Linked DNA regions of Macaca mulatta. The protein of the gene in region 5 binds, or shares a complex with, the protein of the main gene of each other region. Links are inferred from orthologs where the notes say so. Each region holds a gene or a part of one and is shown on either strand. Other genes may lie near its edges.

Evidence for each region.
Region 1: STX7 (region 5) and STX5 share a complex: the UniProt entries of both Homo sapiens proteins name them as parts of the SNARE complex. The link is inferred for Macaca mulatta from reciprocal best matches to the Homo sapiens genes STX7 and STX5.
Region 2: STX7 (region 5) and BET1L share a complex: the UniProt entries of both Homo sapiens proteins name them as parts of the SNARE complex. The link is inferred for Macaca mulatta from reciprocal best matches to the Homo sapiens genes STX7 and BET1L.
Region 3: STX7 (region 5) and VTI1B share a complex: the UniProt entries of both Homo sapiens proteins name them as parts of the SNARE complex. The link is inferred for Macaca mulatta from reciprocal best matches to the Homo sapiens genes STX7 and VTI1B.
Region 4: STX7 (region 5) and STX18 share a complex: the UniProt entries of both Homo sapiens proteins name them as parts of the SNARE complex. The link is inferred for Macaca mulatta from reciprocal best matches to the Homo sapiens genes STX7 and STX18.
Region 6: STX7 (region 5) and BNIP1 share a complex: the UniProt entries of both Homo sapiens proteins name them as parts of the SNARE complex. The link is inferred for Macaca mulatta from reciprocal best matches to the Homo sapiens genes STX7 and BNIP1.

What each region holds. Positions count from the first base shown.
Region 1 is NC_133419.1:11,227,362-11,230,861, forward strand, and holds part of STX5 (syntaxin-5), read left to right. Parts: intron 1-1,662; coding exon 1,663-1,733; intron 1,734-1,895; coding exon 1,896-1,951; intron 1,952-2,068; coding exon 2,069-2,139; intron 2,140-3,500. UniProt on the Homo sapiens protein: Mediates endoplasmic reticulum to Golgi transport.
Region 2 is NC_133419.1:81,260-85,268, reverse strand, and holds BET1L (BET1-like protein), read left to right. Parts: upstream 1-1,209; 5' UTR 1,210-1,294; coding exon 1,295-1,313; intron 1,314-2,559; coding exon 2,560-2,651; intron 2,652-2,934; coding exon 2,935-2,991; intron 2,992-3,133; coding exon 3,134-3,301; 3' UTR 3,302-3,926; downstream 3,927-4,009. UniProt on the Homo sapiens protein: Vesicle SNARE required for targeting and fusion of retrograde transport vesicles with the Golgi complex. Required for the integrity of the Golgi complex.
Region 3 is NC_133412.1:140,848,895-140,853,187, forward strand, and holds the start of VTI1B (vesicle transport through interaction with t-SNAREs homolog 1B), read right to left. Parts: upstream 2,801-4,293; 5' UTR 2,689-2,800; coding exon 2,574-2,688; intron 1-2,573. UniProt on the Homo sapiens protein: V-SNARE that mediates vesicle transport pathways through interactions with t-SNAREs on the target membrane. These interactions are proposed to mediate aspects of the specificity of vesicle trafficking and to promote fusion of the lipid bilayers.
Region 4 is NC_133410.1:8,565,425-8,568,924, reverse strand, and holds part of STX18 (syntaxin-18), read right to left. Parts: intron 3,106-3,500; coding exon 3,047-3,105; intron 1,489-3,046; coding exon 1,419-1,488; intron 1-1,418. UniProt on the Homo sapiens protein: Syntaxin that may be involved in targeting and fusion of Golgi-derived retrograde transport vesicles with the ER.
Region 5 is NC_133409.1:37,533,228-37,537,383, reverse strand, and holds the start of STX7 (syntaxin-7), read left to right. Parts: upstream 1-1,356; 5' UTR 1,357-1,460; intron 1,461-4,156. UniProt on the Homo sapiens protein: May be involved in protein trafficking from the plasma membrane to the early endosome (EE) as well as in homotypic fusion of endocytic organelles. Mediates the endocytic trafficking from early endosomes to late endosomes and lysosomes.
Region 6 is NC_133411.1:182,025,713-182,029,901, forward strand, and holds the start of BNIP1 (vesicle transport protein SEC20), read left to right. Parts: upstream 1-1,389; 5' UTR 1,390-1,405; coding exon 1,406-1,489; intron 1,490-3,751; coding exon 3,752-3,844; intron 3,845-4,189. UniProt on the Homo sapiens protein: As part of a SNARE complex may be involved in endoplasmic reticulum membranes fusion and be required for the maintenance of endoplasmic reticulum organization. Also plays a role in apoptosis.

The DNA.
Region 1 (3,500 bases), on a different chromosome or scaffold from region 5:
TGAAGTGCAATGGCGTGATCTCAGCTCACTGCAACCTCCGCCTCCTGGGTTCAAGTGTTTCTCCTGCCTCAGCCTCCCAAGTAGCTGGGATTACAAACATGTGACACCATGCCCGGCTAATTTTGTATTTTTAGTAGAGACGGGGTTTCTCCATGTTGGTTAGGCTAGTCTCAAATTCTCGACCTCAAGTGATCTGCCCGCCTCAGCCTCCCAAAGTGCTGGGGTTACAAGCACCTGAGTAAGTATTTTTTTGTTTGTTTGTTCATTTGTTTTTGAGACGGAGTCTCGTTTTGTTGCCAGGCTGGAGTGCAGTGACATGATCTGGGTTCACTTCAGCCTCCGCCTCCGCGTTCAAGCGATTCTCCTGCCTCAGCCTCCCGATTAGCTGGGACTACAGGCGTGCGCCACCACACCCAGCTAGTTTTTGTATTTTTAGTAGAGACAGGGTTTCACCATGTTCGCCAGGATGGTCTCCGTCTCTTGATCTTGTGATCTGCTTGCCTCGGCCTCCCAAAATGCTGGGATTACAGGCGTGAGCCACTGCACCCGGCCAAGTAACTGTATTTATTTATTTATTTTGAAACGGAGTCTCGCTCTGTCACCCAGGCTGGAGTGCAGTGGTGGGATCTCAGCTCACTGCAGCCTCCAGGTTGAAGCGATTCTCCTGCCTTTGCCTCCTGAGTAGCTGGCACTACAGGTGCATGCCACCACACCTGCCTAATTTTTTGTATTTTTAGTAGAGACGGAGTTTCACCATGTTAGCCAGGTTGATCTCGATCTCTTGACCTCGTGATCTGCTGCCTCAGCCTCCCAAAGTGCTAGGATTAGAGGCGTGAGCCACCGCGCCTGGCTGAGTAACTGTATTTTTAAATATTTTTACTGATGGGTGGGCATGCTGGCTCACACCTGTAATCCCAGTACTTGGGAGGCTGAGGTGGGAGGATTGTGCGAGCCCAGGAGTTCAAGACCAGCCTGGGCAATATAGCAAGACCCTATCTCTACAAAAGTTAAAAATTAGCTAGGTGCGGTGGCGTGCCCTGTAGTCCCAGCTACTTGGGAGGCTGATGTGGGAGGATCGCTTGAGCCCAGGATGTCGAGGCCGCAGTAAGTTACGATCATGCTACTATATTCCAACCTGGGAGACAGAGTGAGACCCTGTCTCAAAAATAGTAAAGTTATAAAAATGTGTTTTTCAGCTCATGGTAAAGCTGCTTTTCTATATGATCTCCAAGAACTTTGCAGTCATCCTTATTGATTTCCTGATTTGAGGAATAGAATGGCAATACTAGCTACCATTTATTTAGTGCTTACTATGTACCAGGTAGTTGACTGAAGTACTTTTCAGCCTTTTTGTTATTTAACCTTAGCAACAACAATGGGAGATGTGTGTATTGTCTTCGTCTTATAGAAGAGGAAATAGAGATTCAGAATGTTTTAAGTAACTTGCCCCAAATCCCCCAGCTAGTAAGTGGTAAGTCAAGATTTGAACTCAGATCTACTTGTCTTCAAATCTGGACTCTAAATGACTTCCACTCATAAGTCTGGATCATCTGATGGATGCCACTAGTGCTAGAGATAGTTTAGTGGACTCCTCAGGAAGAGTGAAAGCTGGAACTGGGGAAGGGAGAACTAAAGTTGTCACTTCCTGCCATTGCTTTTCAGAATGGAATCCAGACAAATAAGCCAGCTTTGCGTGCTGTCCGACAACGCAGTGAATTCACCCTCATGGCCAAGTGAGTTGAGAGAAGCTTTCTGGTGGGGTGCTACAATGTCTGAAGAAAAGTAGACTTGCGATCAGTGGCCTTGGCTGTGAAGTCTGGGGTTGGTTGTGCTGGACCTTATGTGGGAAAAGGCCTCCTGCCCTTTCCCACAGTCTCACTAGTGGTCATTTGCAGGCGCATTGGGAAAGACCTTAGCAACACATTTGCCAAGCTGGAGAAGCTGACAATCTGTGAGTGTTTTTGGGGTCTTTCAGAAGTGGGGCAGTAAATCAAAGAGGACTGAGGGCTATATTCCCTGAGTTTTGTCGTTGACCTCACCCATTGTGGCTTCTTGTTTGTCTCTGTAGTGGCAAAGCGCAAGTCCCTCTTTGATGATAAAGCAGTGGAAATTGAAGAACTAACATATATCATCAAACAGGTGAGCTACTAGCCATCAGGAGAGCCCAGCATTCCAATCAGATCACTTCTGTCTTCCTGTCATTTTCCATTGCCATGGGGACCCAGAGCAAGTTTCTTTTTTTAGAGAGGGGGTCTCACTGTGTTGACCAGACTGGAGTGTTGTGGTGTGATCCTAGCTCACTATAGCTGTTAACTCCTGGGCTCAAGCTATCCTCCAGCCTGAGCCTCCTGAGCGGTTGAGACTATAGGGACGTGCCCTCATACCTGGATAATTTTTTTTTTTTTTTTTTGAGACAGAGTTTTGCTCTTTTGCCCAGGTGGGAGTGCAGTGGTGTGATCTTGGCTCACTGTAACCTCCACCTCCCAGGTTCAGGCTATTCTCCTGCCTCAGCCTCCCCCATACCTGGGACTACAGCCACCTGCCACCAATGCCTGGCTAATTGTTTTCTCTTTAGTAGAGAAGGGGTTTCACCATGTTGGCCAGACTGGTCTCAAACTCCTGACCTCAAGTGAGCCGCCCACTTCGGCTTCCCAGAGTGCTGGGATTACAGGTGTGAGCCACTGCACTCAACTGTAATAACATTTATTTATTTATTTATTTATTTATTTATTATTTTTTGAGACAGAGTTTCACTCTTGTTGCCCAGGCTGGAGCACAGTGGTGTGATCTCAGTTCACCACAACCTCTGTCTTCTGGGTTCAAGTGATTCCACTGCCTCAGCCTCCTGAATAGCTGGGCACATGCCACCGTGCCCAGCTAATTTTGTATTTTTAGTAGAGGTGGGGTTTCTCCATGTTGGTCAGGCTGGTCTCAAACTCCTGACTTCAGGTGGTCCCCCCACTTCAGCCTCCCAAAGTGGTGGGATTACAGGCGTGAGCCCCAGCGCCAGGCCAATAATAACTTTTCTTTTCTTTTTTTTTTTTAAAGATGGTGTCTTACTCTGTTGCCAGGCTGGAGTGCAGTGGTGCGATCTAGGCCTACTGCTACCTCCACCTCCCAGGTTCAAGTGATTCTTTTGCCTCAGCCTCCCAAGTAGCTGGGACTGTGGGACTATAGGCATGCGCCACCACACCCAGCTAATTTTTTGTATTTTTAGTAGAGATGGGGTTTCACCATGTTGGCCAGGATAGTCTCAATCTCTTGACCTCATGATCTGTCTGCCTTGGCCTCTCAAAGTGCTGGGTTTACAGATGTGAGCCACTGAGGAATTGTGTGTATAAATATAATTCTGTTGATGCCTCTTGAAGCTACAGTGCCTTTGACTCTTCCCTTTTCCTGAGTGCTGTCCAGGGGCTTTGTTGGTCATGCTCTAGACCCAAGATTTTGGCCTTTGAAAGGGTTCTGTGGCCAAGAGCATGGCCTCACAGAATGGAGCAGGG
Region 2 (4,009 bases), on a different chromosome or scaffold from region 5:
CCTCCTTGTGACCGGGGCTTCTTGGGCCGGAATTTCCAACAGGAAAGGATCTCAGCCCCCACCGCGCCCTGCCACACACACAGTGACGCCCCTCGAGCTCCACAGAACCGATGGGATGTAGACGGGAAAGCCGAAGTGGAAAGGACTTTTCAGTCCCGGGCCATTGGGTTCGTTAGGCGTTTGCTGGGGAATGCAGGCGAACGGGACTCCCAGGCCCCTGCCTTTGTGGAGCTTATGTTCCAGAGGGGAAGGCAGACAAGGAAAAACAAAAGGACATGAGGCGGTCACAGGGCTGTGCTTCAAAAGAAGCAAAAGGTGACTGCTGGGCTGCAAGGGCTGTGAGGAAGTGGTGTTTTTGCTAACACTGGACGATGGGAAGCGAGCTGGGAAAAGACTGGAGGAGCCACTCCAGGCAGAAGGAGCAGCACTTGCAAAGGTGGAAGGGCCGTGAGGGGCCGAGAGAAAGGGGAGCAACGCAGTCTGGCCTGGACTCAGTTCCCTCTTGACAAGCAAAGATCCTGCGTGTCCGTTTCAGTGGCCATCAGGAGGATTCAGTGACGCACAGGAAGCGCGGTCCACTGGCTCTTGTAACAAGTGCCCGGGAGCAAAGGCGTCTACGGCCCCCACTCCCCGTGCCGCCTCCCAGTCTCTTTCCCTGCTTCACTTTCCTGTAGCGCTTTCCGCACACCTGTATTCGACGCGGCGCGCACTCGCAGGCACTAGCGAGGCGCCGATCTCCACTTGACAGAGGAGGCACCCTTGCCCCCTCCACACCCAGGGCTCCTCGCGGGCTTCTGCCCGAGGGGCCTACTCCTCCCTCATGACCCGCCTGTGAATCCTTCCTAACCGTTAGGACCTAACGCATGGCAGCGTCTTTCCACCACCATCGTCTTGGCACTGAGCAAGCAAACGGCCCCGCCCCGCCCCACGTTCACAGGAACAACAAACAAACGTCACATCCGCGGTGCTGCTGTAATCCCAGCACCTTGGGAGCCCGGCAGGCGGGGGCTGCAGTGAGCTGAGATCGCGCCACTGCCTGGGCGACAGTGCTGAAAATAAGTCACAGCGACGCCCATCGCTTCCGCGACCCCGCGGTTCCCCACCCTCGGGCCTAAGCCGGAAATCAGCGAGCCCGACGCGGAAGCGGCTGGGCCATCTAGGGGCGTGGTTGGCGCGGAGGCGGGGCCATCGCTGGCGGGGGGCGGGGCCGGAAGCCCGTTCCCCGTGACTGCGCCACGTCTGAGGCGGCTGTGGCCGCGTCGGTGTTGGCGTCGAGGAGCCGGGGCAGGGCACGATGGCGGACTGGGCTCGGGGTGAGCGCGGGAGAGCGGAGCCGTTGGGGGCAGGGCCGGGCCGGAACCGACGCCGCTGCCTGTAGAGCCGCGTGCGCCTGCCTCTGGCCTCGGCGGGGAGGACCCTGTCAGGGGGGCGGATTCGGATCCTTCCGGGTCCCAGCAGGGCCGGGTTTCGGCCAGCACTGCCGCTAGGAAGGACGGCGGGCGGGGCGGCCCAGCAGCTCCAGCGAGGGGTCGCGCAGCTGCGGGGTCCCCCCACTCCCCGCCGCTCCCTGTGAGATCGTTTTGCATGGGTTCAGGGTGAGCGGGAGTCTCGGCATTCGACAGGTCCCGAGGCCAGGCCTTCGGAGTAGGCTGTGCTCCGCTGGTGTCCAGGCAGGCCTCTGCTAACTAACTTGGGCCTCGGTGGCCCCATTTCCCCTCCTGGAGCCCGTGTTCTTCTCTGCAAAGTGGGATATTGATGCCTGTCTGAGTTATGATGAGTAAAGGAATTAATGAACAGGAAGTGGTTGGAAGGACGCTGGCATCCCTTCCTTAACGTTGAAGCTAGGGAGAAGGTGGTTCTCACCCACCTGAGGTGACAGAAATTCCTTATCACCTGGCCCAGCCTGTCACAGGCCGGGCCTCTGCAAGCGCTGTGCTCTGGGTGTTGCAGGAAGCCCTGTGTGGGATGCAGACCAGGGATCACGCTCCTGGTCGACCTCAGCTCCCATCTCGCGGAATTGGGAACTTTGCTCAGCTGTTTTCTGTGCGGTAAAGGGCCTTCCCAATGTTCTGTCCTGGTTCCTTGCCACCTCTTCAGGACCCAGCTCAAAGGTCGTCCCTGCAGGAGCCTTTCTGCTGCCCTGCTGGGTACTTTTCCCAAGTCTTTCCTATGCTCTTAGCAGAGTTTACTCTTTTTCTATAAGAATGGGCTCCACATACACAGATGGCGACCTCCCTGGATGCAAGTGTCACATCTTATTAACATCCCAGAGCTGGGCCCAGTTTTTGCTACACAGTCTCAGAAGGTGCTGGTTGGACTGAACCCACTGTGGGTGCTGGCCCATCCCCACCTGGATGTGTACACAGGACACGTGTTCACATGACAGGCCCTTGCACACATCGTCCTTTATGCAGTCTCTCTCACATGTGCAAGATTCACCTGCTGGAACCTAGGTTAGGTCCCCTAGATTTCTGACTCACCCAGTTGTGGTTGGAGTGAGAGGGGTCAGAGGCCTCGCTCCCCGATGGATGCAATCACTCAGCCCCTCTCTTTTCTCAGCTCAGAGCCCGGGCGCTGTGGAAGAGATTCTAGACCGGGAGAACAAGCGAATGGCCGACAGCCTGGCCTCCAAAGTCACCAGGCTCAAATCGGTCAGTGGTGGTCTGTCCTCTTACCTCCACCTGGTGCCCTTGGGGAATGGGGATCAGAGGGAAGGTAGAGGGCCCAGAGGAGTTTCAGGCAGTTTGCCGTCCTCCTCGTTCGATTCGTGGCTGTGCTCACCTGCATGAGGCCCCAGCTGACACCTGGACCTTCCTGCTGCTGCCCCACTGTGTCTGGCAGAGTTGTTGGCAGGGTTTGTCTGGTCTGGGAAGGGTGAGTGCTGTATTATGTGTCTGCTCTGGCCCAACCCTGCCCTCTCTGTGTGCTGAACAGCTCGCCCTGGACATCGATAGGGATGCAGAGGATCAGAACCGGTACCTGGATGGCATGGTAAGGGCCCACGGTGTGCGCGAATCAGTGCCCTGCCCCCAGCACTACCTGCTACAGAGCTTGCAGTGTCTCCTTCAGCACTGGTGCGGGTGGGTGGTCAAATCACCACTTCTGTGTGATCTTGCCGGGATTCTTCCCTTAGGACTCGGATTTCACAAGCATGACCGGCCTGCTTACAGGGAGTGTGAAGCGCTTTTCCGCAATGGCAAGGTCCGGACGAGACAACCGGAAGCTTCTATGTGGCATGGCTGTGGGTCTGATTGTGGCCTTCTTCATCCTCTCCTACTTCTTGTCGAGGGCAAGGACGTGAGACAGTGGGAGCTGGTGTCTGTGGGTGCCAAGGGCAGCCATTGTCTTCCCTGCCTGGCATCTTGGGCTCCAGAGGACTTACCTGCAAAGTACTCCTTTGAAATTATAATCGTGGGCCAGGAATCCTTTCTGTGTGGCAGGAGGCTGCGGCTGCCTGTGACCTGATGAGCTCATGTTGGCTGGTCCCATGTGTGGAAGGGACTCTTTCGGGGAAACCAAGGCCCAGCCCCTCCCCCCTTCCCCAGATGCTAGAGACACAAGCAGAGCTGGGGCCGCAGCGTGTCTGGAGGAGCCAGGTCTGAGCAGAGCAACTGTTGAATCCCAGGCGTGGCCACCTGTGGCCTGCAGCCTTTCTCCCAGCTCTTGGGACGCTGACATCTGAAGGCTCCACGGTCGTGTCCTTGTCTGGATGAGGCCATGTCTGTGATCCAAGGTTCCTGGAACTGACACAGGAAGGGGCTGTGAACCCTAAGTGGGTGCTATCTCCTCCAACTGAGGCTTCTCAGCCTGGAGATGGCAGTTACTCCTGGCCATGGTTGCTGAGCACAGGAGACCAGTGCGGGCCACCCTGCTGTGAGTTCTCTGTGCCTACTCTCCAGTCCTGCGGATGAAGTGAGACCCCTGGGGAGAACGGGTTGTGGATGAAGGAGTGGACTGCAGCCTTGGCCTAGCCACTGGGTGGGATCCTTCTGGGTCCTGTGACTGTGTA
Region 3 (4,293 bases), on a different chromosome or scaffold from region 5:
CAGAAGGTGGAAGAGCAACAGATCAAGAGAGCAGGCAAGCAGGAGAGGGCTGAACTAACCCACTCTCTCAGCAACCAACCCACTCTCAGGATAACAATCCAATCCCTGAGGATGGAGCCCTCATGGTCTAATCATTTCTTATGGGTCCCACCTCTTAACACGATTAAAATGGCAAATAAATTTCAACATAAGTTTTAGAGGGGACATTCAAACCATAGTAATAATGAATTCAATTTTCTATTTTTCAAGCAATGTTCTTTTGCATTATTTAGCCTTATAGAAATGGGCAATGCAAAAATTAACTCAGTGCCAGGTTGAAAATGCAGTCTACTTTTTTTTTTTTTAGACAGAGTCTTGCTCTGTCATCCAGGTTAGAGTGCAGTGGTGCGATCTTGGCTCACTGCAACCTCCAGCTCCAGGGCGCAAGTGATCCTCCCACTTCAGCCTCCCCAGGAGCTGGGACTACAGGCACGCACCACAATGCCTGGCTAATTTTTGTATTTTTTGTAGAGATGGCGTTTCACCACGTTGCCCAGGCTGTTCTCAAAATCATTCAATACAGCAATACTCCTAACTCAGCTTCCCCAAGTGCTGGGATTACAGGTGTGAGCCACCACGCCTAGCCTGCAGTCTTTTCTTTTCCTTTTTTTTTTTTTTTCTGAGACAGAGTCTTGCTCTGTTGCCCAGACTAGAGTGCAGCGGCAGGATCTCGGCTCACTGCAACCTCTGCCTCCTGGGTTCAAGCAATTCTCCTGCCTCAGCTTCCTGAGTAGCTGGGACTACAGGCAACTGACACCATGCCTGGCTAATTTTTGTATTTTTAGTAGAGATAGGGTTTCACTATGTTGGCCAGGCTGGTCTTGAACTCCTGACCTCAAGTGATCTGCCCGCCTCTGCTTCCCCAAGCACTGGAATTACAGGTGTGAGTCACCGTGCCCTGCCTGCAGTCAACTTTTCAATCACATAAATCAGATCCCACAATGGTTCTGCACAATATATTTTAACTGCATCCCATCATATTTAGAAAAAGGCACAAGTCTTTCACCATGGTCCACAAGGCCCTACATGATCTGGCCCTGCCTACCTCTCTCCTTTGCTCACTTCATCCCAAACACATGGAACTTCCTGCTCTTCGTTGAACACACCAAGCTCATTTCCGCTTAAGGGCATTTGCAGTGCTATTCCCTCCTTCTGACACTCACTTCTCCCAGATTTCTGGTTTACTCCCTCTCTTCATTCAAGTCTCAGTTCAAATGCCATCTCCTCACAGAGGACTTTCACAACCGCCCTATTTAAAACTGAAGTCCCGAGGAAAGCGGATCGCTTGAGGTCAGGAGTTAGAGACCAACCTGGCCAACATGGTGAAACCCCGTCTCTACTAAAAATACAAAAAAAATTAGCCAGGGGTGGTGGCGCAACTGTAATCCCAGTTACTCCAGAGGCTGAGGCAGGAGAATTGCTTCAATCTGGGAAGTGGAGGCTGCAGTGAGCCGAGATCGTACCACTGCACTCCAGACTGGATGACAGAGTAAGACTCTGTCTCAAAAATAATAATAATAATAATAATAATAAAATAAAACTGAAGTCCCATCCCCTATTCCTTTACTCTGATTTATTTTCCTGTATTCTTTAACACTGCCGCTTAATAGTTATATATTGTTTATCACCTACCCACTAGAATGGGGACGTGCATGTCTTTTTCACTGTAATTTGCAATATTCACCAGCACCTAGAACAGTGCCTGGCACACAGCAGCCTCACAATAAATATATATTAAATACATGCATTTCATTCTCACCAGAGTCATTCAATTCCTATGACCTTGAGTAATTCGTTGAGCAAACACTCAAGCTCTGATCCTTAAATAAAAGCAATAAAACAAAGTTTTGTCCTTGCCATCAAGTTCTATATATCCGGAGGCCAAGAACTATATATAGCAGGTCTTCCTATGGATCTAGGGCCAGAAAACTCTAGCTCCTCCAGACAAAACTTGTAGCAACCTGAACCATGAAATGAAGGGGTAGTAAATAGTCTCAGCAGTAAAAACGTTCAAAACAAGACCACATCTAAACGCCACCATACGGTTTTAAAGGCCAGCTCTCTACCCTCCAATAACAGGTATATACCAACGCCCCAAATTATGACTCTTTTGGGTTTTTAACCCTTTTTCTGTGCTACAGATCCTCTGTCAGTCTGGTGAAAACTAGACCTGTCTTGACACTAGTGCTTCTAAATGCATAAAACAAACAAAAACAGCTACGAAAGAAACCCACGCTACATTACAGGACCGCAGATGTAAAAGCCCCTCTGCTCTGTTTGCCGCAGTGGAAAAAAACGAGAAAATGTGGAAGGCCATAGAAGGAACCCAGGGAACTGAACCCCGCGTCCCTGGGCGCGTCCCCAATTCACTCTCAGTGGCAGGGAGACCCGGGGTTGCGACCCAGCCAGCCCTAGGGGGCGTGTCTGAGGACGCGGAGGAAGGAGACGCGGGCCCGGGTCTGGGAGGAAGGTGGGGGAAAATTCCAAAGCGCGCGGGGCCGCGCTCCCCACGGCGTGGCCCACCCGCGCCTCACCGGTCCCAGCAGTCCCCAGCAGCCGCTCGGGCACCCCTTGTAGGTCTTCATGGAGGCCGCGGAAGATCTCGTGCAGCTTCTCGAAATGCTCCGAGGAGGCGGCGGAGGCGGCCATGGCGCAGGACGCGCTCGAGCAGCGGCCACCCAGATTCGGGGCTCTGGGCCCTCTCCTAGCCCGGCGGTCAGCCGCCCAGTCCCGTGGCCATAACGGCGACCGCCGCACCACCGCTGCCCAGGACGAGGCTCTTCCGGGGCCGCAGAAGGGTCCTCCCGAGCCGGAACGCCCACCCTCTCTAGCCCGTGATTGCGGGAGCGCCGGCGCGAAGGCCTGACGGGAAGGCGGCAGACTGCGCGGCCTAGGCGACTCCTGAGGGAGCGAGCGGGGCGAATGGTAGTCGCAGAGCCCGAGAAGTGCCCGGTCCGGGGTGGGGAAAGGCCGCAGAGAAAGGGCCCTAGGGGACCTGCGGGACGGGCAGCTCGGCCGCCTTCCTCCCAGGCCCCGCCGGCCGGCCAGGGGCGGGCGCTGCAGTGCACGCCGGGGGATGTAGTTTGACTCGGAGAGCGTCTGGTGCCGGAGTCGCGCGTTGCCCGGGGTGCCAGGTTTAGCCCGCCAGGCGACAGCGGGCTTCGGCCCGATTTGATGTGTGTTTGCGTCTAGACGTCGTCCTCACTGTCATCGCGCTTTGCTTTGCCACCCTGACCCGAATTCCTCATTTCGCGTCTTGACCGAATGTTAGCTTTAGGCCCTGGAAAGAGCCGGGCCGGGGGCTCTGCCTGCAGTCGGGAGGTGGAGCACTTTTCCTGGAAGGCCCAGCTGCTCCCCAAGCTTTCAGAAGTGGAACTTGGCCGGGCGAGTGGCTCGCGTCTGTAATCCCAGTACTTTGGGAGGCCGAGGTGGGAGGATTGCTTGAACCCAGTAGTTCGAGACCAGCCTGGTCACAATAGCGAGAGCACTACCGGAAACCCAAAATAGGAGCCGGGCAAGGTGGCGCGCACTTCTGGCCCCAGCTACCCCGGAGGCTGAAGCAGGAGGATTACTTGAGTCCACAAGGTTGAGATTGCAGAGTTCCCACCACTGCACTCCAGCTTGGGAGACTTTGCTCCCAAGTGGAGGGTGACCTTGTCTCCAAACAAACCCAAAAAACAAAAATTCAAAAGTGGAACCCAGTTAGGATGACCTCGAAATACTCTAGCTGCTAGGCTGCCTCGTGCACTTGTTCACAACAGGTGTTTGTCAAGCGTAGGCATTGCGAGGGATCTGGGCATGTTGGTGAATAAAACATTTACTCTCTGCTCCGAGGGAATTTATAATCTGGTGTGGAAGGTGGGCCTGGCTTCATTAGGTCTCATCTGCCACTAAGTGTCACTTGTTAACAATTACAAGGTCCTTTCCTGCACTCCATGGGTATAAATGCCGGTCTTCAGGTCGGGCATGGTGGCTCAAGCATCATCCCAGCACTTTGGGAGGCCGACGCGGGCGGATTACTTGAAGTCAGGAGTTCGAGACCAGCCTAGCCAACACGGTGAAACCCCCATCTCTGCTAAAATCACAAAAATTAGCCGAGCGTGGTGGTGGGCGCCTGTAATCCCAGCTACTCGGGAGGCTAAGGCAGGAGAATCACCTGAACCCGGGAGGTAGTGGTTGCAGTGAGCTGAGATCATGCCACTGCACTCCAGCCTGGGTGACAAAGCAAGATCCTATCTCAAAAAAATTAAAATA
Region 4 (3,500 bases), on a different chromosome or scaffold from region 5:
AAGATGGTGAAACCCCGTCTCTACTAAACATACCAAAATTAGCCAGGCGTGGTGGCATGCCTGTAATCCCAGCTACTCGGGAGGCTGACTGAGGCAGGAGAATCGCTTGAACCCAGGAGGAGGTTGCAGTGAGCCAAGATCACAACACTGCACTCCAGCCTGGGTGACACAGCGAGACTCCGTCTCCAAAAAAAAATTAAAAAAAATAAAAAAAAAACTCCTGGTGAGCCAAGGCAAGGCTCTGCCTGTGCTCTGCACACCCCTTCCAGGCCCCCTGCAGCCGCTGGGAGGTTTGAAGCAGGGTAGTGTTATTCAAAAGAGCAACTCCTATGAACCCGAACTTCCAAACTGCTGTTAGACTTAATGTACCTCATTTACAATGATTTCACTCTGGCTGTGTGGTTTATGGAAAGTCATTTTGAGAGAAGTATTTTAAGTTAAGTAGTTTAACATACTGGAGAAAAATTTGTCTTTCAAACATTCCCATTGTCTTTGGGTGCTAAAAAGAAAAGGGCAAATTTATTAGGTCCCTAAAAGTTTTGCCAGTTATTGGCTGGAAGAATTTCAGAAAATTGACTTGAAAAGAACAATCCTGGCCGGGCGCGGTGGCTCAAGCCTGTAATCCCAGCACTTTGGGAGGCCGAGACGGGCGGATCACAAGGTCAGGAGATCGAGACCATCCTGGCTAACACGGCGAAACCCCGTCTCTACTAAAAACACAAAAAATTAGCCGGGCGAGGTGGCGGCGCCTGTGGTCCCAGCTACTCGGGAGGCTGAGGCAGGAGAATGGCGGAAACCCGGGAGGCGGAGCTTGCAGTGAGCTGAGATCTGGCCACTGCACTCCAGCCTGGGCGACAGAGCGAGACTCCGTCTCAAAAAAAAAAAAAAAAAAGAAAAGAACAATCCTATTTCCCATGCAGGCACCATCCCTGAGGCGGCATGGACCTCGCACTGTGAGAGGCCTGGGCCTGAGCTCCTGTAACTCTACTGACGGAAAAGCAACTGCCCGTCAGCATCGTTCTGTAGTTCTCTCTCAAATGGAGAACAACCCTGCAGGGGTCACTCCAATCTATAGATGGGAAACTGTTGCCTGGCCGGGCTACCTAGCTCACCCAGCACATCCAGAACCCTGACTGCCAGGCCTGGACTCTCCTCCCACATGCCACTGCATGCGCCACCACACGGCGTGGTCAGTGGGGCCAGTGGATCCCCTGTGGGGAGCTTCTCCTCCATCACACGTGTGCAGAGGCAGCTCTGGGTAGTGAGAGCTTTGCCCTGAGGAGCTCTGCGCACGCACACCCGCTAGCAACACATGGCTCTGCTCCTGGCTGCGCAGAGCAGCAGCCTTTGGGAAAAATGTCTCTCAAGTACATTCCCCTTTAAGTTAAAACGTACAGCTACTTTGTTTTTGTTTTTACCTGTTGCAAAACCTTTTCCGTGAATATCTCTTGGAGTCTGGAAATCTCAACCACTCTCCCTTCGATTTGCCTTCATAAAAAGAAGAATAGATTACATATTAACTATTAGTACTTGGTAATCTAACAGGACTGTTACACATTTCTAAAGAAATCCTGTCTTCTACATGAAGGTGGGAGAGACGGGGGAGCATACCATGTTGGCTGGGGGAAGAGATTGGAGAGGAAGGCAAACTCTCCTTACTGGGTCACCTTCCCTGTCTCCCGGTGTAGCCTAGCACGCTGGGCTTTTTGGAAGTCCACTCTACCATGCCAACTGAGCCCAGTCCCAAGAGGTGGGGGTGGGCAGTGCCCTTTGCATTCTGTGTCACTGGTCAAGGACCAGGGAGGGTCTGGTTATGCCCCAGTTACAGAAAGCAGTCTCCAGTAAGTTCTCTGCCTAGCCTTGTCACCATGGTAACACATGGTGGGGATTCAGAAGGTCAGAATATGCTGATGATCCTGCTTTGTTACTGCTCAGCGGGTTAAAGAAAAAAGTGTATTTACCCTCAAACCAACTCCCTGTTCCAAGAAAAAAGCTCCTCTGATTCATTTAGAAAATGCCATGTCTTGGTTTGGCAATGGAGTGTTCTGTCGGATCGGAAACACTTGGGCTAGCCATCTTCCTGGTGTCAGGGGCAGCCTGGGCTACCCTGGGGGACAGGTCGGGGCCCATCTATTTACAAACGGAAGCTGGCCCAGGCTGAAGTTAACTGCTGTTCCAGCACAAAGCAGCGACAGGAAGTGGCAGGAGGCGAAAAGTGGTGGGAGCTGAGCTCCTGGCCAGGTGGAAGCAGACACGAATCCCAACAGTGTCACAGTGGCAGGAGGGCAGGGGAGGAGATGGGGGAAGAAAAGCCCGTGAGTATCTGGGCATGGGGGAGTAGCGGGGACGGACAGTGAAAGGTAGGCTGTTGGAGGAGGACTAGGAGGTCCATCTGAGGGCAGAAGGCGAAGAGCCCCTGGGAGGCTGACACCTACACTGAGAAAATCCTCAGGCTGTGTGAGTGCAGCATCAGGATTGATTTGATTTGGGGGACATGTCCACAATACAACAGGCTCTGCAAAGTCCTGGGCCTTACTTTCAGCATGCTGCAGGCCTTCCCACAGAAACTAGAGTTCAGTGGGTGCACGTGTGGGTGACCAAGGCCTTGCCTTCTGCATTCCTGACCCCCTAGTGGGTACAGGAGCAGGCAGACCCCAGTGGAGCCATTTGCAAAAGAGGGCTTCCCTTGGTCAGCTGTCCTTCACGAGGGCCCCATTTCATTTCAGAGTCGCTGCATGGAAACAGCCCAAATGGTGGTGGAAATTACACGCAGGTAATCTGCAGTCACTCCTGCATCTCTTGGGGTAGAAAGCATCTGGGCCCCCCGCAGCAGTGGCAGCAGGCGGGAGGTAACCCACAGGCCCACAGGCTGAGGGAGTTGTAGATTCAGGCCACATGCCCACCCCAGCCCTGTCAAAATGGCTGAGGGGGGCTGCACCAGCCCAGGGGCCCCATGTGGATGCCTGGGCACCAAGGTAAATAACGTTCCTAGTTCCTGGAAAGTTGTAAAGCAGGCTCTCAGCTCACAGAGGAGCTACAAACATACCTCACTTCATCAAACAAGCTGTTCATTTCACCAATGAGTCGCTGATTTTCCTGTTCAAACTGCGAGGAAACAAACACACTCAGGATGACATCATACTGAACTCAGGCAAGCGTCTAACAAGAAAGCGGACCTGCGCTCCAGGAACCACTGGCGAAGCCCCCATTTCCAGCTGCAGCAACATGGTGGCCGGTGCTGGATGACCGAGAGCGTCAGTGTGAACAACGTCCCTGCTCTCAGGAGAAAATTTTAAAACACAGCTGTGCTGCCTGGTAATCGACTTTTCCATCTCAACCACTGCACTCCAGGGGTGCAAGCTGACTGCTATGGCTGTAGCTGTATCTACTTATGCGCTCTCCCCTGGGCTCCCACGGCCAGCTTCCTGCCTCTGGTACCATTATTAAAAAAATTCTTTTGCTGTTGTTTTCTCTCATGAAGTATACTGAAGGACTACACA
Region 5 (4,156 bases):
TAATACTTCTAAATTTTGCAAGGTTGTCTAGACATATTTATTTTTTTCCATTTAAATACCAAAGGATGAAATCTTATTCTTAAGTTTTCAAAAGACCTGGAAGGAATCCATTCATAACATATTTTAAAGCAAGAAATTGCAATAAGCCCAGAATGAGGGCTCAGACAGCTAAGTTTTGGTCCCAGCATAGTCAGTAACTATCAGGGCAACTTGAAGAGGCCAGTTAATCTCAGGTTCTTCTGTAGTGCATTGTACCTTCCCCTCCCAGAGCCCAGAGGTCTATCAAAGATAATATGAATGGTATTTGGAAAGTGCACTAAACCTCACACAGATGTAAGATCCTTTCATGAGTTCCTTCAACGACTGAAATGTCTCTTCCTACGTTCACCAGCCACTTCCTAATTCTCAAGTACAATGCACTACTTTCAGTTCTTTATTTACTTGAACTTTCTGTGACAGATGACATGATGGACCATTCCCTCTTTTTTCCCTTCATTCTCTAGTTTGCCTTTTCCTGGTTTATTTCCTATCTTGTGGGTTACTCCTTTTCTGGGTTATTCTTTCTCTGTCCATCTCTCTTAAACAGATAACATTCCACAGTTAGTGTTGGTGAGTTTCAACCAGAATTCTATACTAGGTTTTGCTTTTTTCCACCTAAGTGCATCTGGACTTTTGATATCACATATCCGGGTAATCATTTTAGAAAATAGTGTTTCCTTAATATAGGCGAAGGCTAAGCCAATCTATCTTCTAATTAATTTGGTGAGGGCTTTCTTTCATTTGTAGCAATTGATGCTTTTCATCTAACAATTATATTATATTTGCATATTTATCATTGGAACAGTCTCTGCTTGTTTTAAACCCTGTGAAAACTACGCCCTGCTTTTCAGGAATGCTTCGAATGACTTGTACGTACTAGGAAAACTTGTTTACTAAGTGAGGACCCAGAGATGACTCTTCACTTATTCCTTCATTGTTCCCGCTAGGATTGTGTATTCGCCTTTGCATTTTTCGATAGAGCTGTGAACGCGATCTACTGCAGTTAAAGGTTAGCAAACAAGATAGGCAGGAGCTAAAGGGGCGGGGTGAAGACCTGCGTGCAAGAAGGCTTCACCAGATAAAGAAGACAACTGTCCTCCATTCTGTCCTCTGCTTTTTTGCACGCAGGCTAAGAGGCGTTCACCATCTCTACGTCAGGCTTCAAAGAACAGCTCCCTTGCAATTTTGCTGATACTCCCATTCCTTAGCTTGGAACCGAAGGGGCGGTGAGGGCCGCTGTCACTCAGCCCCGCGGGCCAATAGAAAAGGGGTGAACCCCGCCTTCTTCCTTGAATTGTGCTGCGGGCATGCGCATTGGGCGTCCCCACGCCACCGCCCATCAGCTGAGAATTGCAGCTGAAGGCTCGGGGGTCGGTGGGTGACGGTGGTCGGAGGTGTAGGAGGGAGCCACCGAGGTCCAGGTAAGAGGACCCTGGGGAGGGGGGTTTCCTGGCCGTGCGACAGGGAGGCGCGGTGCCCCTGCGGCGCCGCTCCTCCTTGTTTGTGCGCGTGGTCAGGTGGCCGCCGCCCTGCGCTCTGCAGCAGGCACTCGGTAGGTGAGGAAGGGCCGGACTGCCCCGGCTCCCGGAGCGCCTGCGGCTCCCCATACCCCCAGGCCGGGTGCAGGGGCGCGGCGCGTTCCGCATTCCTGGAGTGCGCGGCTGTGGTTAGGTGGGCCTGGCCAGCCACGCACCCGCCGCGGTCCCATGGGCAGCGCTCCCGAGGCGCACGGCGTGGCCGGCGCCAGACCCGGCTGGGGCCCAGCTCAGGAATCCAGACACGACCAAATGACCTCTTCCTCTTTTCAACTCATGGATTGAAAAACACACTTTAAACTTCCCGAATATAGAGGAACTGAAAAATGTATGGCTGTAGCAGACAAACCGTGTATGTTTGTTTATTCAGTGGCTCGTAGTATTTGTTTTATTTGGCTTGATGACTTAACATACTTTCTTTGACATTCTTAGTATACACGTTTAATTAATTTACATAAAAACCTTTAAACATACATAAAGTATTTCTAGTATTTCCTCCACCTTGTTTTTTAGTTACTTACTTTCTTTAAATTCAGACAAAGAAAAAAAAGTTGCATTTCTGATCAAATGCTGTGTGTTTTTTTCCCACAAATTTCTCACATTTGCTTGACTCTTATCTATATACGTTAATTTTTGTTTACCTCAGATCGTTGTATTCTAACTATAATTATATATAGTATATAAAACTTGCCCAGAATCTGGAAGAAAAGAAAGTAATTATGAAATGCTGTGCTATTTAATAATGTTGGAAGTGAGCGTTTCTTCTGCAGGTTCTCTGAGCACACCTGGGCAGAGGCTGATAATGGTGTTAAACTGTGTTTGTGATGTGGCCAGGCCTTATAGGCCACTTTGAGAAGTTGGCCTCAGACTTGTGACTAGTTAAGAATTATGCTCTTAACTTCACAGTGTCTGCAGAGGTTAATATGATACCATATTAAGTCATTAACATCATCATTTTTCCTCGGATATGTTACTTATGTTGCTCTTGATAACAAAATCAATTCTCATTTTGATTATGACCCCAAACTTTAAGTGCTGATGATTGAAAAGTAAATTATAGAAAATATCCACAGTAAGTCTGAGTAAAGTTTACTGTGATTCCATTTAATTTGCAAGTTTCGTGTGTGAAAGTTTGAAAAAAATAATCCTTGATATTGTGAACTAAAACCAAGTAGTACAAGAGTTCAGTGATGGAAGATCTAAGGCCAAAGAATGCAGTTAATGTAGTTTGTGCAGAGGATACTTATGTAGACAGTTCCTTGAGCATTTAGTATGCACCAGGCACTGTAGATTACACAGAATGACAAGGTCATCTATCCCCTGTTTATATTCCAGAAGTAGCTCCTGTTTGTATTCCAGAGGTATAGGGATCAATAATAAAGGTTTGTATTCCAGAGGTGTAGGGATCAATAATAAACAGTAACTAATTAGACTATTGAGTATTGTGAAGCAGTAAGTTAGATTGACAAAGAGTGGCCTGTGGTGAGTTCTCACTTTCAGATCAGAGTGGTCACAAAGGTTTCTCTAGCATGTGATGAGGCCTTGCTGGGGAGAAGGAGCCAGTCACATGGAGATCATGAGAAGAGCCTTCTAGAAATAGGAAATGGCACCCAGCAAAGGCCTAAGGCAGCAAGGAGCCTGCGACCTTCGGGATCTGAAAGAAGGCACTGGAATTTTATGTTTTAGAAATGGTAATATTTACCCTCACGCTGGGTGTGTGTTCTTAGGAAGTGGGTACATTCATTCATTCTACAAATATTTGTTAAGCACTTATGATGTAGCCAGGCACTGAGAATAGTGCAATCCACAAAACAGGCAAAAAAATGCTCACCCCCCACCCGTCAGAACTTATTTGGGGTAGAGGGTAGAGAGAAGTCCAGTTGTTTATGCTGATGTTAATGATTAAGAAAGTGAAATTGACCCCTTCTTTGCCCAGAGTAGATTTATAGAGCATGAGATATATGCTAAATGGAAATCTTAAGGATTCTACAGTGTATCTGATTTTAACTGGGAGTAGTCTTTGACACTTTAAGATTACATTTTAACGTTCCCTTTGTTCATTCTTTTGTGTTCTTTAGAAGCAGTCTTGAGAAGACGCTTATCTGAGTGTTGCACTTTGATTCTCCCTTCCTGTTTTTCTCTTTATGGTGTTTGTGTATCTTCATAGAAAGATGATTATTGAGATGTGGAGATTGGCACTGTGCAATAGCTCTTTCTGTGATGATGGACGTGGTCTGTGAATGAGCTGTCCAAGCTGCTGGCCACTAGGAACACAGAATTTTTGAACGTTTGAAAGGTGTCTAGTATGACCGAGGAACTGAATTTTTCATTTAACTTAATTTTAATTTTTAATTTTTTAAAAACAAGAGCTACAATGTAATTTAAGTGATATACAATATAAAACGGTGTAAATTGTCACATCAGAAAATGAAATGTAGAGTAAAAGTGTAGTTTCTTAATGCAGTTACCTTGTTAACAGCTTATAATAAGATATTTTTTGCTTTTATTTTAATTGACAGATAATGATTATACACATTTGTGGGGTACATGTGATACCTCAGTAGATGTATACAATGTGTAAT
Region 6 (4,189 bases), on a different chromosome or scaffold from region 5:
CACTGTGCTTGGTGCTTTTCATGTATTATCTCATTTAATTATCCAATCTGTGAAGTAGGTGCTATTGATTATCACCAGTTAGCCTCTGAGGAGACTGAAGCACAGGCATGCAGTGCTGTGGACAGGATTTGAGCCCAGGCAGATGCCAAGCCTGGGATACACTGCCTCTCTATTAGGTGCAGTGGGGTGATGAATACCTTACGAGAGGGTGTGTAGAGGCCTGTAGGAACACAGACAAGCACAGAGCCCTGCTTACAACAGGTGGGAGCCATATTGATTTTTTGGGGAAAAGATGGCTTTCAGTAGAGGCTGTGCCACTTTCAAGATAGGTAATCTTGCGACAGGGTTGATTGGTGGTTATTTTAATCTACTTTCAGCTCATCTCCTGAAGTGTGATACTAGTGTAGTGCAATTTCAAGGGTGGTTGTGAGGATTAAGAGAGATGAACATTCAGGTCCTAAGCATTTAGGTCCTCACAATCTATTCTTGCTGAAGTGACCTGAACAAAAGCAGATGGAGTGGGGTCGAGTCGGGGAAAAGCTTTCCAGGGAGAGGGAACACCACATTCTAAGGCTACACATCCAGAAAGAGCTTGAGCAATCCAGGAAGGGCGCAGGGTGGGGTGGCTGATGACCTTGAGGACCAGCTAAGAAACTTGGATTATTTACTAACAAAAATAAAAGAGCCACCATTTGTTGAGGGTTTCCTCTGACATTTCCATCAAAACTACGTAAATCCATCAAAACTACGTAAATCCATCAAAACTACCCCAGCAAGGTAGATTTAATAAATCCAGTTGTATACAAAAGGGAACCACCAGAAGCCATAGAAGGGCTGCATACAGGGAGGCGACTTGATCAATTTCGTGTTTTACAAAGATCCCTCAGATCATGTGTTGGAGTGATAGGAAGTACTCTACTGACTCTACTGAACTCCATACTTTAAAAAATACATAACATTTATCATTTTCTCTTTTACTCCACAATTTATACTCACTGTAGAAAATATTAAAAATATAAGAAAGTTTGAAGAAACAAAAAATTGTCACTTGTACTTTCCAGAGACATCTCAATTGATACTTTTCTTCCAGTCTTTTTTTTCTATGCAAAAAATACATAGTTATTAGAATGCCTGACAGAAGGAAGATGGAAAGAGACCACTGTGAAGCATTATTGATATTCCCTCTTCTCTTCCTCTCCATGGTATTAAGGCCATACCAAGAGGAGAGGCTGATTTCCCTACACGTGTCAGGGAAAGTCCCAACTCTGCGGCAGGGACCCAAGCTTGCCATTTTCGCCGGTCTCTAGGGGGCGCTGCCCCGAGACTGGGCGGGGAGGGCGAGAAGGCGGTGCGAAAACGCGTTTGAACTTGGGCCCTGCCGCCGCCCGTAACCGGCGTCCCCAACATGGCGGCTCCCCAAGATGTCCACGTCCGGATCTGTAACCAAGAGATTGTCAAATTTGACCTGGAGGTGAAGGCGCTTATTCAGGTACTGATCCCGGGACCCCTGCCAGGCTCCAGCAGCCCTAACCCAAGCTCTGCTGGTCTGTGAGCTCGGTAGTGTCACTCCCGAACTTTCCCCACTTGGTTTCCCAGGCCACCGGCTCCGCCCCATGACCGGCTACCCGCCCTGGTCCCCATTTGGTTGTGTCCCCGTGACTGCTGGCCTTGATCCTTTTTCCGGGTGCCGCCGGATCGCCCATCTCCAGAGCACCCAACTGTTCTCCGCCCCTGACCCAGCTACTGCTTCGAGGCTCGGCTTTGCCACTTCCACTTGCAGTCCTGGTCGTCGCTCCGCCCCTGACCTCCTCACAACCTACCTGCCACCCTGCTTGGCCCCGCCCTCTGACGCTGCTTCCCCATTCTCTGGTAGCGCCCGGTAGGCAGCTAGCCCCGCCCCCTGCTGGCCAGCTCCCCTGGCATCCAAGGGCACCTGGCTCGGGAGGCACCAGGTGAAACGAATGTAACCTGGACCGTAGTTGTGATTTTATGCTTGAGGAAATCGAATACGGCGCCAAGGCCTAGGTTAGAAGGCAGGCCTGGGTCAATGGCAAAACTGGGACCTGGACTGGGAAAGTCAACCTAGGAATAACACCTTAGAGTGTTACCCCGTTTGAACAGAGAGGAAATGAGGTGTTTTCGCCTTAAGCCATTTAAGGGTAGAGGTAAAATAAACGAGTTGACGTAGACAAGAATTAGGAATGTAGACACGGTTCCATGAGTTTAGCAAAAAGAAACCAAGAGTTTTAAACCTTGTTTTTTTGTTTTGTTTTGTTTTGTTTTTTGTTTTTGTTTGTTTTTGAGACGGAGTCTCGCTCTGTCGCTCAGGCTGGAGCGCAGTGGCGCGATCTACTCACTGCAAGCTCTGCCTCCCGGCTTCATGGCATTCTCCTGCCTCAGCCTCCCGAGTAGCTGGGACTACAGGGGCCCGCCACCACGCCCAGCTCATTTTTGTATTTTGTTTAGTAGAGACGGGGTTTCGCCGTGTTAGCCAGGATGGTCTTGATCTCCTGACTTCGTGATTTGCCCGCCTCGGCCTCCCAAAGTGCTGGGATTACAGGTGTGAACCACTGCGCCCGGCCTAAACCTTGGTTTTTAAAGCAAATCATTTTCAACAAAGTCACTAAACATTAGATGTAGACTCAGAGTTTGTAACGAGGGGTGGCAAAAAGTGCAGGAAAGTAGGGCTCCCCAGATAAACCAGATGCAGAATAAACCAAATTAGATGCAGAATAAACAAATATGGTGCAAAGAAGTGTGATTAAATTAATAACCAGAGAAAAAGTGAAATTTGATGCAGATATTTAAAACTTCTCGAACTTCACTTCTCTGATGTATACATTACAAAACTTCTGGGCCAGTTATAGAAAAATAAACTTAGGTTTCATACAAATGAAATCACATTTTCACATAATCTAAATTGCTTAGGCACCCTTCTGTACTCTTTCTAACATTTGGGTTCTTGTGATTGCTGATGAGAAAGATTGATTATAGCTGGATGTAGTGCACCCTTACTGTGTTCCAGCAGCTCTGCTAAGTGCTTTACATACACACATAATCTATGATGTTCTCTGAGGTAAGTAGGGTTGTGATGAGGAAACTGAGACACAGAGAATTTAAATAACTTTCCAGGTAACTTTACACAGCTAATAAGTTGCTACAGCCAGGATTCGAATCCACATGGTCTGTCTCCAGAGCCTGCTCTGAAAACTGGCACCAGTAATTCTGAATGTCCAGCAACAGATTCTAAATCTGCCCTTAAACATGTTTATATAAACACTCTAAATATCACTGACGGTTTGTAAAATCACACTGAAAAAGTTAATCTCATCATATGAGGCCAGATCTTTAAACATCCTCATCTTACAAGTTGAAAGGATCTAAGGTTCTAAAGTTATAGTATTACTTTCGCATGTCCATTCTTGTTGGGCATATAAGCTGTTTTAAGCTTTTTCATACTGGCCAGGTAATGTTTTGTTAAAATTTAGGCACTAAAAATTAGGTCAAAGCAGTTGTGTTTCTTTCTAGGCTTTTATATTAATTCAACATTAATCTAAAGAGGAATGAGAAAAATGCCAATGATAATGTTTTTGCTTGTGTTGCAGAGGTAAACAGCAAAGATCAGGATGAATTATAGTCAGTATCAGTACATTAATATTAGTTGGTCTAAACCAACTCTCTCACTGTATGGATGGTGTCATTTCATTTCATTGCCTTAAGAAAGGCCTTTCATCTGTTCAATGTCTCCTAGGATATCCGTGATTGTTCAGGACCCTTAAGTGCTCTTACTGAACTGAACACTAAAGTAAAAGAGAAATTTCAACAGTTGCGTCACAGAATACAGGTGGGTATTCTCAGAACTGAGATGCTGAGTATCTGTCAATGAAGGGGGCTCAGTCCTGGGTGTATCCTCTGCTTGAGAGCCGTCTGGGTTCTTCAAACACCAGCTGATGGGAGCAGTAAACACTTAAGACAGTGAGGGTGACTCTGTACTAACCTGCTGTCCAGGTAAAAACGAGAAACTTTTGCGTGCAGAACACTGCCAGCTGTGTCAACAAGTGGATGGCAGGAACACCATTATCCTTGGAATTTTTGAAACCCTGAGGCCACTTCAAATACTTTCTCTTCTCTACCTTCTTTCTACCCTATTCATTTGTTCACTACCTCAATCCATCACACTCCTGGGTTT